Neodiprion lecontei: one gene and its partners. The protein of the gene in region 1 purifies or fractionates together with the protein of each later gene. This does not show direct contact. Links are inferred from orthologs where the notes say so. Each region holds a gene or a part of one and is shown in the gene's direction. Other genes may lie near its edges. The genes, in order: COP9 signalosome complex subunit 6, protein mahjong and cullin-5.

What was found.
Region 2: the proteins of COP9 signalosome complex subunit 6 (region 1) and protein mahjong purify together in Homo sapiens (affinity purification with mass spectrometry; 7 studies listed by BioGRID and IntAct, with this or other methods). This does not show direct contact. The link is inferred for Neodiprion lecontei from reciprocal best matches to the Homo sapiens genes COPS6 and DCAF1.
Region 3: the proteins of COP9 signalosome complex subunit 6 (region 1) and cullin-5 purify together in Homo sapiens (affinity purification with mass spectrometry; 5 studies listed by BioGRID and IntAct, with this or other methods). This does not show direct contact. The link is inferred for Neodiprion lecontei from reciprocal best matches to the Homo sapiens genes COPS6 and CUL5.

What each region holds. Positions count from the first base shown.
Region 1 is NC_060261.1:28,662,731-28,666,330, forward strand, and holds the start of COP9 signalosome complex subunit 6, read left to right. Parts: upstream 1-926; 5' UTR 927-1,140; coding exon 1,141-1,351; intron 1,352-1,570; coding exon 1,571-1,854; intron 1,855-3,600. UniProt on the Homo sapiens protein: Component of the COP9 signalosome complex (CSN), a complex involved in various cellular and developmental processes.
Region 2 is NC_060260.1:28,672,327-28,677,846, forward strand, and holds the start of protein mahjong, read left to right. Parts: upstream 1-2,578; 5' UTR 2,579-2,593; coding exon 2,594-2,667; exon of another isoform or gene 2,668-2,797; intron 2,798-3,043; exon of another isoform or gene 3,044-3,186; coding exon of another isoform or gene 3,187-3,212; intron 3,213-3,375; coding exon 3,376-3,646; intron 3,647-3,882; coding exon 3,883-5,271; intron 5,272-5,520. Other genes in the region: uncharacterized protein LOC107223374, read left to right, coding at 96-376. UniProt on the Homo sapiens protein: Acts both as a substrate recognition component of E3 ubiquitin-protein ligase complexes and as an atypical serine/threonine-protein kinase, playing key roles in various processes such as cell cycle, telomerase regulation and histone modification.
Region 3 is NC_060266.1:20,108,277-20,113,796, reverse strand, and holds the start of cullin-5, read left to right. Parts: upstream 1-1,962; 5' UTR 1,963-2,023; coding exon 2,024-2,056; intron 2,057-2,356; coding exon 2,357-2,566; intron 2,567-2,663; coding exon 2,664-2,840; intron 2,841-2,919; coding exon 2,920-3,061; intron 3,062-3,339; coding exon 3,340-3,654; intron 3,655-3,746; coding exon 3,747-4,219; intron 4,220-4,333; coding exon 4,334-4,597; intron 4,598-4,733; coding exon 4,734-4,889; intron 4,890-5,037; coding exon 5,038-5,318; intron 5,319-5,408; coding exon 5,409-5,520. Other genes in the region: integrator complex subunit 7, read right to left, coding at 296-615, 1,129-1,219. UniProt on the Homo sapiens protein: Core component of multiple cullin-5-RING E3 ubiquitin-protein ligase complexes (ECS complexes, also named CRL5 complexes), which mediate the ubiquitination and subsequent proteasomal degradation of target proteins.

The sequences.
Region 1 (3,600 bases):
TTTTATACTGAGATGAAATATTCTAATAAATAACCACTGTCTCTCATAATTCTTAAAATGAAGTCATTTACTTTTCCTGTTATCTGATTACGTGTAAAAGGTAATAGAAAACTTCAAAAATACCGCTTGTTTGCTGCCAACAATAGTACACTGAATAATATGTATATACAAATGATTTCTTCTAGTTAAAGCTGTATCTGATCTTTCTGGGTTTTAACCAAAGTTCATACGTTATTTTATACCGTGTAAATACTAATAAGCGAACACTTGATTGAATTCTTCATTATTAGAAATAACCCGGATATATGTACGTAAGAGAATATTATGAGATGAATCTTGCAGACTTAATAACTCCTTTATATCCATGAACGGCGTTAATTCTAAAATTCTGGAAAATTAATTAGTAAATGGGAAAACTAAAAAAATTCATATGTACAATTTTGTTTGCAACGTGATAACCATCTCTGAAAGTAGAAAGTATAGTAGTGTGCCTGAAAAAAATTAGTTCGAAATCTAGTTTCATGGTGAGTGCCGTTGTAGTTATCCCTTCAACGAAGGACCATGGTAAGTTCCTTATATTTCAGAAAACCCCTGCGACTGCAAACGCTACGTTATACTCTACTCTCGAGATCATCAACTTTTTTGCCTCTATTATTCGAAAAACGATAAATCTTTCCACTTTTCTGGTCGCATATGGCAGAATTCGTATGCGATCATAATATATATTTCTTTTATACCACTACAATTATACATTCTTCACTTTGACAGATTTTAAATACAAGGTAGTTTCGTACGCAGTATAAAACGTTTGACTTTTCCCGCGTTCAGGCATGCGCACACATTACTACGTCAGTTCCCTGGGTGGTAACTAGGCTGACTCGAGGCGCTTCAAAAGTTATAAATTGGTAGCACAGGCTGCCATAGAAATTAGCTATTCAGATAAATACAGAATAGGGCAATAGGGTCTCAACCAGTCTTAACTCCCAACGGTCTAAACCAACGATTGTTTCACAACTCGCCGCAGGCTGTCGTAGACGGTACTTTGTAGTATTTACGCCTTTGTAGCCACCAGCCATCAGTAAGTAAAGAGTATAGATAAAACTGTCGTGTTTGCTAGTTTGAGCGTAAAAATATACCAAAATGAGCGAGCCGTCGTTTAGTGAAATGGAGGTAGAAGAAAGCAACGTTGTTAGCGCGATGGATACAACCCCAGTCACAAGTAACGTGAAGAGCGTGATGGCCTCGTCTGGGACTGTCGGCTCAGTGTCAATCAGTTTGCATCCTCTCGTCATAATGAATGTTAGTGAACATTGGACGAGGCTCAGGGCACAGGAAGGCTCTGATCAACTGGGTGAGTGTAATAGAATACAACTTTTTACTTCAGTGCCCTGAAGTCAGTTTATGGTGTGCTATGATCACGGTGGCAGAATATACCCTAATCTAACATGATTCGATAATGCGCAAATAAAGTTCTGTAAGTTCGATTACAAGAGAACGATGCATGTTGAAACCTGAATGATTTACACTCTAATGCATAGTGTTTGTATTAATTATTTATTAATTCTTACAGTTTACGGAGCACTGATCGGTAAACAGAAGGGACGTAACATAGAGATAATGAATTCTTTCGAGCTCTTGTTTACATCTATCGGTGACGATGTTGTCATTGATCGAGATTACTACAATACGAAAGAAGAACAGTTCAAGCAGGTGTTTAGTGAAATGGATTTTCTCGGGTGGTACACAACAGGAGATGCCCCAACAGACAGAGACATCAGGGTACACAAACAGCTATGCGAAATTAACGAATGTCCTGTGCTACTTAAGTTAGACCCGAGGTGTAAACATACAGAAGTAAGTGTTTACTATGTAACAATCTCTTTCCATACATTTTCTGCTCCAAAACATGTCCAATCCATCACTGTATTATTACAGAATGTGTATTCAACGATCTAAATAGTGCTGCAAGTTCTAGAAACATAATGAAATTTATGACATTGCAGAAAAGCAGCAATGGTCAGAAATCTGTAAAATCTCACAATACATACTGTGGAAATTTTACAGTTGGAAAATGTTTCAAGTATTTCAGGAAATTTCTTAGGGTACAGTACCCAAAGATATAAATGGGATATTCCACACCAACTTAACCAACTTCCAGACCTCACCTTTTGTCATTTTGGTCAAAAACTTTTCATAGAATTGTCCCAACTCCAAAACAGGATCCCGACCTTGGTCAGATTTTTCTGAGTAAATTTGTTTACTTATGATTTTTGAAAACCTAAATGTCATTGGCCGTAATTTAAATATGCCAAAAAATTCACAACCATCTTGTGTCAAGTATCGAAATTTTTAAGCCTAGATCCGGATTAGGCTGGCATTTGCTTCTACTCTTTTTTAAGTTTCTTAAATAAAAAAAAAAAATAGATGCAATTGTCAGTCTTTTGTGGGCCGCTGCTCAAACATTTTTATACACAACCCAGGATTTTTAAGAATTTTTTCAGATTCCAAATTTTTGTTCCAAATGAAAAAATTGTTAATAATTAATGAGTTTAAAAAAATCTTAAGAATTCTTAAATAGTACGCGTTACATATTAAAATTTTTGCCAACAAATGACTGAAAATTTCTCACAAAAGAATGACAATTGCTTCTTTTTTTTTCAATTAGTTTTCTTCAAGAAATCTCGAAAAAAAATAAGAAGGGAATGTCGACCCACTCAGGGTTTAAGCTCAAAAATTTTAATGTCTGACACATGATTTTTGAGAATCTTTTCAGATTTCTAAATTAAGGTCAAAAACATGTTGATTTTAAAAAACGCAAGTAAAGCAACTTTCAGTCCAAAAAATCTGAAAAAATTCGGGGTACTGTTATGGATTTGGTACAATTCCATAAAAATGTTTAAACAAGATTAGAAATGGTAAGCGTCCAATGTTGGTTAAGTTGGTATAGAATACCTCATATGTATAAATTTTACTACTGAGCAGAACGACATCAACAACATCATATTTAATAATTTGATTCAAAAACATTGTATCTCACAATTTTGTTCAAGACCATTGTTTTCAGAATTTAGTCGAACATCATTGTATCTCTAGTCAATGAACAACGTTTTTTTTAAGGCTGTGCAACTGCTGTGCATATGATTCTTGAAAGAGTAAGGTTGCTATTCGGTTTATAAGTAACGGTTAAGATTTAATATTACAATATTAAATTATAATTCAAATCTGGTGTATAGAATTATTTTTATTTTCATATGGAATATTCACTTTGTTGTATGAATTTAATTGAGGATTAAGTAATATATTTTTTATGTAGTAACGTTCAATTTCCCCTATGGGCTAACTCTACTCATCTGTATACATGCTTATACAGCAATATCGGTAAGCCTTCGTGGTTTTATGCATTATGTATAGGATAACAGATGATGATGATTGTTCACTAACAAAAATTTATTGAAATTGTTTTTGCTTGCCGTTAATTTTCGATATTTTTCTTATGGTTATTTTACAACAAAACTGATATTTATATATATTGATACTACAAGTATTTGGAATCATAATCAATCAGTACATAAATTGTATGATCGAACTAAATAAACCACA
Region 2 (5,520 bases), on another chromosome or scaffold:
ACTTTTACCAGATTCCGATATTGGCAAAATCACGGTATTGTATAAGTATAATGGTGTTGCCAGATTTTTCTATAGTATTGCCATCTTCTTTGTAGAAGCTGCTTTGACGAGTGTGAAATCAACCTTTGTCTATGATAAAACGGCATCTTTTGATGGACGACTTGATAAGACTCCAAAATTCGAAGGATTCAAAACGCATTTTGAACTGAGAGAAAAACTGCCTTGTACAAATACACAGCAAGCTGTAAAGTTATTTGATAATAGTATATCAACTAATCAGGGGAAACCTAATAATTCATCATGGTTGTCAGAAGTTATTTCCAAAAAGCAGTCAATCAGTAGGTCAATTTCTGCACGCAGAAATAATGCGAAATAGAGTGGCATGTCAAGTCATATTTTCAATCCGTTTCAAAACCGGAGAATGTGGCGGAAAGGTGAAAAAAAAAATCGTAATTAATTGAGTATTCTTTATATTTACTTGTTCTAAATAATTGAAATATGTGGTTCCCCAAGAAAGTCATGGGAACCTGTGATTAAGTCATTTCTGCTGACATAGTAAATGAATAAACGAAGAATTTGTAAAAACTTATATTTGTGCAAAGAATAAACACTTGTAATTACAATGTCAGTCATAGATTATTGGCATTTATTTACATTAAATAATCGATAGTGTTGTTGAAAATTCAGTAACGAATGTGACTCTTCCTAGGTTCATACACTTGCATATAGTTTCATGCTTTTGGTATTGAAATTTTTTAAACTTGGTAGGACTATAGTCAGTTTTAAAAAATGTTAGCATGCGCATAATATTTCTTATTATGATTTAACAATTACTTACTGGTTACAGTATGAAAGTTTTAAAGGCAATGGTCACCCAAAAGCAACATTCAAGATGAGACGAGGCAAGCGGTGCTCGTATCTGGAAATGTACATAGACCAAAGTTATAGTATATTTTATTATAATATAGAATAATGTTTTGTACTTTCAAAAATTTGAGTTCAATTTTGTAACATAACTCGTTTTCAAAATAAAATATGTAAGGAATATCCATTTCGAAACAAATCTCAATTATTCTCAATCACTTAGTTCCTCTTCATCACTAAAGTAATTATTTTTTTTAAAACGTTTTTTAGGTTTCGAAGATTCCTGTCTTGGCTCTTCGTACTGGCCAGTTGCAACTTGGAACCTATACTTTGCAAGTTCCTCTTGTTCTTGCTGAAATAAAATGATCAAATAAGAATCTAAAAAGTGCATTTAAGATTAAAAACTTTCCAAATGACACAATTTCCTACCTCGTGATGTATAGCAGCACTCAAAGTTTCTAAATCTGATTCAGCCACTGCATTGTCATATATTGTCTCAGAGTCCCCAACACCACCTGGTTCTCTCAAGCCTTCGTCACTGTCACTATCATAATATGAGGTATCGCCTTTTGCTTGATCTTTATTTTTTTTTCTAATTCTGATTTTTTTTGGTGGAGGTTCTCTGGGGCCCAAAGTATTTTGAGAGCATTGGTACGACAGATGCCCTTCTTCACCACACTCGTAACACTGAGATTTGTCTGGATAATCCTTTCGTCGAATGAATTCAGTACTGCGTCCATTATCCACGGCTATGGAGCTTTTCACAGTACGGCCACCAATCTGAGAATAGAAAATTTTCTTCATTTTGTGTGAGATGTATATTCATTATTAAAATAAGTTATGATAGTAAGACAAACATATGATATTGATATATATTTTACCTCAGTATTATTTAGAGTCTTTGCACAAGTAATGGCATCTTCACGTGTGAGAAATAAGACGAATGCAACACCCTTGCTGCGTCTAGTCATCTTGTCTTTCAACACAGTAACTCTGCAATTCATAAAATCACATTTTAATCAACTGTTTAAGTTAGCTACAATTATAGATTCAATACATTAGATAAGATATTATATATGTTTCTCTGGGTAAAGATAAAAGAGAAAAGTGAATGCGTGTATGGTAATTACGAAATACTGAAATTCCAAAAGTTTATTAAATAGTTAACAAGTTGCATCATTAATTTTCGAAGTGATCACTCACTTGACGATCTTTCCGTACGTTTCGAGAAGCTTGTGTATGTCATTATTAGTCAGAGAAAAGGGCAAGTTAGAAACGTAAACCGTTGATTTACTCGGAGCAACACCTCCGCTCATCGCTCTGAATTATTGTTTCGTATGAACCGTATGAACACAGTGTAAATTTGAAATATACACGGTGTAGGTTATGTTCTTGTCGCATATTTTACGGTTATGTTTCACTTTGACGCAGAAGCATAATTTTAAATTTGTTCATTCACGATTCGTCGATATAGATCACGTGGATGTCGTTCTTTGTTCTCATTGGCGTAGGAGCTCTGCCAGGTCAAGTCTTGGGGCGCGAAATGTCAAAAAAAAATTCCAAAAATTGAATAATTGATGACAAATATTTTGGTTTTTCGAGTTTGATATCGCCCAGTGACCATTTTCCCTGAAAAACCTAACATAAGTGACGATAGCTGGTCATCCCGACATTACCTACAAACACATTGATCTGAATTTGACCTTTCGCACGCAAACGAATCGTGTGCATGAATCATAAATTTGGCCATGTGCAGACCGCGTTCGGCAGTCGAAGCTTGTGTCGGTGGCGACAGTCTTGTATGTGCGTTTTAACAAAATATTTTGGGCAATTAGAAGGGATATAGGTTGTTTGCTATCGAAAAACGTTGATTAAACTTTCTTGGTAATTTAACATCAATAAGGTACAATTTTGAAAGCTGTCATAGTCGTTGGTACTTGAAAAACTTGTTGTTTTAACCTAACCTAACCTATACATCTGGTAACATTTCTGTACAAGATTTAAGAGGCACAGATATGTCAAGCAGTTGTTGTATCACTCCCTTTAATAAATAGGAGTTACATTTTGCGATACCTGTAATATGTCTAGTATAGTTAATAATTTTATTACGCTTTGATAGATCATACTTTAATCTCGGAATTCTGTTATTTAAGGTTAGAGTCTTCGGTGTTATGTTCGTTTTTTCGAGTTGTGGAACCTTCCGTTACAAAACTGTACACTTTTGCAAATTAAGTACATGGCTTATCCTTTGCTTAAAATTAACGAGTCGTATTCATTATTAGCAGATTCTTCAAAGACCTTATTCCAAAATCAAAAATAAACATGGCTCAGCAAAATTGTGTTAAAAGGTTGCATTTGAATAACTATTTACAAATATCAATTATTTCCTGGTTTGTAATTCCAATGAATTTTATTCATTTGAAAGTCTCAATGGCTCATATGAGTACAAGGTAATTTTTCATGATTCAGACAATTCTGCTTTAATTTTTCCTTGTATCTTTACTTTGATAGAACAAAAGTCATGGCGACAGTAGAATCACTTGCGGAAGTAACAGATGTTGTTCAAATTCTGCGTCAGTGGGAAGAAGACCATGTTTCACCGACGTATGATCCAATACCAACATTGCAACGTTTGGCTGAAATTATAGAAATAGAGACAGAAAATTACTTAAAAATGGATCCAGATCCATTTGACGAAAGGCACCCTTCACGCACTGATCCAGAATGTAATTTTGGACATATTTTGAAAGTTTTGTTTAGAAAGGACAACTTCATGACAAAGGTAGTACCTTGTTCCATATTTATTGTGTAATTTTTTGAAACAAATGATAACAGCATTGAAACCATATCAAATCTAATAATTTCTTACATCCAATGTGAGTAATGAAATCAGGGACAAAACAAACTTGTCTGTCTCAAACATCAGCTTTGAACAATTGTTGAGTCTTTATCCGAAACATATTTTCGATCTGTCATTTGACTATTTGGAAAAATTCAATTCAATGATTTGTGTTACAGCTGATAAATGATTATCTAAGAGACACGTACTGGACACGGTCAGGTATTAACGGTCGTGATGTGCGAAAGTTGAATATTGCAGCCTGCCGTTTGATGTTGGACATATTGCCAGGCCTAGAAACATCAGCAGTGTTTCAACCCGATATGGATGGGCTTATCCATAGGCTTTTTTCGTGGGCTGAAAAAAGCATAGAGCCTTTACAAAGTTATGCCACCGGTTTGTTAGCTGCTGCAATGGAAGTTCAAGACATTGCTACAGGATTTAGAGAACAGAATGGTAAAATGGTGCCTTTGATGCTGCAAAGATTACACAAGCTACAAGAAAAAGCTTTGGAAAATCGTCATGCAGCAGTTAACACAAGACCATTTGCACATTTTGGTCAGAATAGAAATAGCCTGGGTGATACTGAACACAAAGGTACTCCTGGAAAACGGAAAGTGAGAGAGAAGAAACATGAAAATGGAACAATGAAAAGCCCTACGCACTCAATTTTTTGCTCAGATGAAGAAGACTCGATTCAAAGTTCGGACGAAATGCCACCAAGCAAAAAACTCAAGTCTCAAAATAACATGGAAAATGCTGTTTTAACACCTGTTAAATCTAACGATAACACCAGAGATTCATACCCCGAGATTATGTCCCCACCGTTATCTATTCCTCGTATAACTACCTATACAACTTTACAAGTTACACCAGCGAAGAATCAAAACACTCGTGTAACACCACCAAGACCTGTCAACATATTGGCATCTGGTAGATCTAATTTGTCTAAACCTCAGACTCAAGTAATCAACCCGCCTTCCTTGCTTCTAGAAGGTAATTCGAATTCGTCCTGGGCTGAAATGGAGTCTTACGTTATTGGCAATGTTCAAATACATCCGCCCACTTTGGCTACTCGTCAGATGCTGATTTTAAGGTACCTCACACCAATGGGAGAATACCAAGAATTTCTTGGGCACGTATTCGAGCAAAACGCTTTGGAATTGATATTAAACTACATAAATGTACGGGAAACAAAGGATAGTCGCTTAGCTTTTGAAGCTTTAAAATACTTAGCATCTTTACTGTGTCATAAAAAATTTTCTATCGAGTTCCTAAGTATGGGTGGATTACAAAAACTCTTAGATGTACCAAGACCCAGTGTCGCGGCAACTGGTGTTTCTATTTGTTTGTATTATCTTGCATACTGTGAGGATGCTATGGAAAGAGTTTGTCTCTTACCGAAACATATAATAACCGATTTAGTGAAATATGCATTGTGGTTACTGGAGAGAAGTCACGATTCTGGTAGATGTCATGCAACAATGTTCTTTGGATTTTCATTTCCTTTCAAAGTTATTCTGGAAGAATTTGATCTCCAAGATGGACTTAGGAAATTATACAATGTTGTGAGTATATGAACTTAATATCAAACTGCAGTGTTTTGCGAGACATAATAAAGTCATTATACACAAACCACCATTTTGAACGAGAAAAAAATGACAGTTTAATTCCAAAACTAGAACAATCAGTAATTTCATTCATTTCTGTGATTGTGAAAATGTATGTCGCATTAATTTGGGGTTTGCAATGTGAGAATACTATATTGCATTTGCTAAATCTTATTATTATTATTATCATCATTATTTTTGAGACAT
Region 3 (5,520 bases), on another chromosome or scaffold:
TAAAAAGTTTACAGATTTTGGTTTAAATTTAGGACTAATAGGTAACATTTTGGCTATCAAAAAATCTTTAAGGCTTCACACAAAACGTTTTTTCCACTATTTTAATTGAATTAAATTTAATAAGGTAATGTTTAATTTTCTCTACTCTTTGTTATAAATAACTCTACATAATTGGACATGCATATTAAAATTTGTTGTATGTTTTTACATTTTTTATAGCACAATTTTTTATACTTTAATGGAAGTCGTACTCGTATATAATAGATAAGTGAATGAATGACAGTTGCATAATTACCTGTTGTCTTTCTGGTATGATCCCGGCAACACTGCCTAAGGTACGCAGAGTAAGCGCTCTTGCAACTGGATCGTTGGAATGAATAACGCTAAAAATTCGTCTGACAAATTCATCAACATTAAGAATTTTGTCCAAGTGTTTTTCACTTTGTTGGCAAACCCTCAATACCCAGACGCGCAGAAAGTTGCTGCCTATCCGAAAGACGTCAGCCAACTTGAGCAGCGAAGAGTTTATCAGGATTGGAAAAGGATATTTTTCGAATAGGCGGGGAAATCGTACGATAGCTTCGCACTGCTCCCCTATCTTGTTCGACCGAAGACCTAAAACATTAAAACTTTGTCACAGGATGTCCAGATTTCCCGAATAGTTTAGAAATTTGAATTTTTAATCATCCAGTCATTCGGCCCGTTAAAGGGTTAAGATTTTTTCATCTGTAAACACAAGCTGTTACTCTCATCACTATCAAGTGTTCGACAATTTATTACTGACTTGTTTGAAAATTTCAATCAACTTTAGCATTAAATTTGGATGCTATAGAGTTTTATCTATGTTGAATAAAAATTCCGATACGAATTGTTCTGTAATAACACCGAATATTTGTTTGAAAACCAGAAATGCATAAGCTAACCTCAAATTCAATAACACGTCATATCCCGGCGAAGATTCTAACATTTTTGAGCATTCGAGTAGTCCTACAGGAAGTAAGATTGAGGAGAATATTAAGACTACGAAGATGCTGCAAATTTAGTTAATCTTCTGCCTTACCATCGAAATTCAACGTGGTAGCTTTGACAATCAAAGTAGTTAACCTACAATTTTGATTTTGCAATTACCTTTATCCAGCTCGATTAGAGCTGAATTTGCATCTTGCTCCGGCTCTCCTAAACCTGTATCGTTGAATGCGTTCATCCTCATGCCGATCATCTTACAAAATGATGTATTTTATTTCAGTTTTATAGAAATTGAAAACGTTTGCTCTTTTCCGGCACTATCCAAATATGTTTACTTCTGCAGTGAGTACAAAATATAATTACTACCCGTAAGGTCCCTAGGCAATTTTCAGTTTATCGATATGGCTCGAAGTTTGAATCTCCAGAAGAAGTGACATTTCCATATAGTGTAAATATTATGTTTGCCATTATCTGACGATCCTAATTAACTAATTGCTTTCGATATTCCGTTTTCAAAGAAACAATTCAATCGAATTTAATTGTTCGCTGATAACGAAATAAAATTATTCTTTTCAAATGGCTGCAGGGCTGTCTCACTGGTGCCTGGCAGAGAGAATCCTGAGAGAGCCCACCGTGCACGTCTTTTGTGTTCTCTATTTTGTAGCGCTATCAATCACGAGATAGGTATTTGGAACAAATCTTCGAGGTGCATGTTCAGTAATCGAATGTCGGTAAGCGATTAGCATTCTACCGTATTTAGAATCACGGGGGCCGTAAATGTTTGTAAATTGTTCAGTTTCGTCCGTTTCGTCTACGACCGGGTATCAGGGTGTTCTATATCTTATGCTGACAACGGCAGAGTTCAGTCCACGGCAGAGTATTGGTCACCTACTGACACATGCTTACCGACCGATCACCGTGGAAATTAGTCCTAAAAATGAATTTCTCATAGAGGGCGCTATGATATCAGGGACACGAAAAATGCTAGTGTAGGCCATCTCAGGCTCCTCGCTGCAGCTGGCTTTGAAGAAAATGGGGGAAAGCAACTAGTTATAACATGTCAAAAACTAGTGTGGCGGCGATGTTAAAGGTTAGTTGTCATTAAATAACCGCAAATAATAGGTAAACGGTGAAGGGATTTTGCTAATGACGGAGAAAATATCAATCACCAACAACTGAGTAGACCCAAATTTTGGGCGAACGAATTCCCATGATACTCGAGCTATTCGACTGAAAATGACTCATCTGGCATTGAAAATCAAATTCGATCACTGAACAAACCGCCGATATTGAGTGAATTGCGACTAAGCTGATACTATTCATCACGAAATATTCAAAATTTCTCACCTGCGTGCCTACTGATCTCGTTTTTCATCGTCTATTTATGCAGGACCGGAATCAGTTTAGCTTCGCAGGAAAATGGCCATGCATGCGCCCAGTAATATTGAAATTACTGAAACAAGAAGCTGTTACACAAGGGGAATGGCAGGATCTATTTTATTCAGTTCACTTGGTCTGCCTATGGGACGACAAAGGTCCTCCCAAATTAAGGGACACTCTCAAAGTGGACATAATGGATTTCATACAACAAGCACAGCAGGTAATCAATGTTGTAATTAGCATTTTCCCTCTCGGAATCTGCGAGTGACTCGCTTCCAATTTATGTATGTTATAATCCTTGCCTTACGTTGATTCAGAGAGTATTGGCGCATCAGGAAGAGCAGGCGTTGCTTAAAGCCTACATAACTGAATGGCGCAAATTTTTTACCCAATGTAATTATTTGCCAACACCGTTTAGGCAACTGGAAACTTCGCTTGCTGGAAAGACTACTACACAGAAAAGGAATCAAGCGGAGGAAAGTATAGTTAGAAAGGTAATACTCATTCCTTATTTTTGATGGATTTCTGCTGCTAGATTTATTAATCAAGTCAATATTTATTTCTGAGCAATAGTTGATGCTGGACAGTTGGAACCAGAGTATATTTGGAGACATAAAACAAAGGCTACAGGATTCAGCCATGAAGCTGGTGCGGGCGGAAAGAAATGGGGAGGCGTTTGATTCGCAGTTGGTCATTGGTGTTAGAGAATCTTATGGTGAGGCCTATGCAAGTGAAAGAGGAGTTTTCAGTAAAAACAAATGGGAATTAAAAAGAAAATTTCACAATTAATTCAATCAAACACATTATTGATTCAACAATAGTTATTGTAAGAATAATATTGTCTCAAACAAAACTTGAACTATGATCTGAAGTGGAAAACTTGATGTAGAACGTTTTATAGGATGTCTTGTTAAAATAAATCCTGACTTATATTTCAAGAAATTAAAAGTAAAGTTGAAGATTAATTGTTAATTTCACTTTTATCTCTTACAGTTAATCTGTGTTCAAATACAATGGACAAGCTGCAAATATACAGAGATAATTTTGAGGCATCGTACATAAAAGCCACGGAAGAATTTTACAAAATAAAAGCTCCTGAGCAACTTTCTCTGCATGGAGTAGAGACTTACATGCGATATGCAGAGGTAAAGTTGAGAGAAGAAGAATTGAGAGCTCAAAAATATTTGGAGCCAAATAGTGCAAGTGTACAGTTGTTGACGGATTGCTGTGTTTCTGTACTTGTCGCTACCTTCAAGTCAGCCATCCTTGCCGAATGTCCTCGCATGATTCAGCATCATGAAACAGAAAGTAATTTGAGAAAGAGACTAATAATCTTAGACAATATAAACTTTGCTAACATTAAATACATTACAAATTTTTCACACAATTTTTATTTACAGAGCTCAGACTCATGCTCAAGTTGATGGATCGCGTACCAGATGGAGTGAGTCCAATGTTAAAAGACCTGGAAGATCACATAGCGAGTGCCGGTCTTGCCGATATGATGGCAGCAGTCGATGTGATAACCCAAGACTCTGAAAAATACGTAGAAAGATTGTTGGATCTCTTTAGACGATTTTCTACTCTGGTTAAGGAGGCGTTTGACGACGATCCGCGATTCCTCACAGCCAGAGACAAGGCATATAAATTAGTTGTCAATGATTCAACTGTATTCAGACTTGAACTGCCTGTTAGACAAGGTACCGGTGTAACTGCTCCAGTCATCCCAACTAAACCTGTAAACAGCAATAATGGACAGCCAGAATCCAAGTGTCCTGAACTACTGGCAAATTACTGCGATATGTTGCTCAGAAAAACACCGTTAAGTAAGAAACTTACTTCGGATGAAATCGAGAGCAAACTTCGGGACGTGGTGAGCTCAGTTGTGTTTCATATATTTCCAGGGGATGTTTAAGTGCTATTGGCTAAGTGCTTTGTGATAATTGAAGTGAAATGTAAACATCACAATATTCAAATTTTATTCTAGCTGCTCGTGCTAAAGTACGTTCAAAACAAAGACGTATTCATGAGATACCATAAGGCTCACCTCACTCGGAGATTGATTCTGGATACTTCAGCAGATTCTGAGAAGGAAGAAAATATGGTGGAGTGGTTACGAGAAGTCGGCATGCCTGCGGACTATGTAAATAAATTAGCACGCATGTTCCAAGACGTCAAAATTTCCCAAGATCTCAATCAACAATTCAAAGAACAGTGCCGCGCTACCATTGCCGACAGCATTAATATAAAGGTGAAGCAAATCAAGTCGTTGTTTTTTTTTTTTTTATTATAGGAGTCGTACTTTCGTTTCTCCACTATTCACCCTGTTCACTGTCTTACATTATACAAAATATATTTATCAATTATTTATATGCATTTTGCAATAGATATTGAATGCTGGCGCATGGGCAAGAGGCAGCGAGCGTGTCACTGTCAGTTTACCCCTTCAATTAGAAGATTACATCCCCGAAGTTGAAGAGTTTTACAAAAAGAAGCACAGTGGCCGTAAACTGCAATGGTATCATCACATGTCAAATGGAACGGTAAATGCATTTACATTTATAAGAAGTTGATTTAAAAACTTTTCTTAGCACTATGTGCGAATTACAATCCAGTTTGTAGTCTAAGTAAACATCAATACTGCACAATCTCAAAGATTCAAACAGGCAATAACATAAAATGAGTTTACAGATAACATTTTGCAATAAAATGGGGCGATTTGATGTTGACGTGACAACATTTCAAATGGCTGTTCTATTTGCTTGGAATCAACGACCTTTCGAAAAGATTTCATACGAAAATCTTCGATTAGCAACCGAGTTACCAGATACAGAATTAAGGCGTACACTGTGGTCGTTGTGCGCTTTTCCTAAACTTAGACGTCAACTCCTTCTAGTCGAACCTAGCACTTACAGCCCGAAAGAATTCGCGCATGACACTCGTTTCTGGGTGAATCACGAGTTTGCTATTGTGTGAGTAAAAATAAATGAGTGAAATCTCCGAATAATCAGACGGAAATAATGTGTACTTATTCCTAATCGAAATAAATTATCATTTGTTAGAAAAAATGGAAAGTTGCAGAAGAGGGGGAAGATTAATTTGATTGGTCGGTTACAACTGTCAACTGAGCGAAGCAAAGAAGAGGACAACCAATCTATCGTACAGCTAAGGATA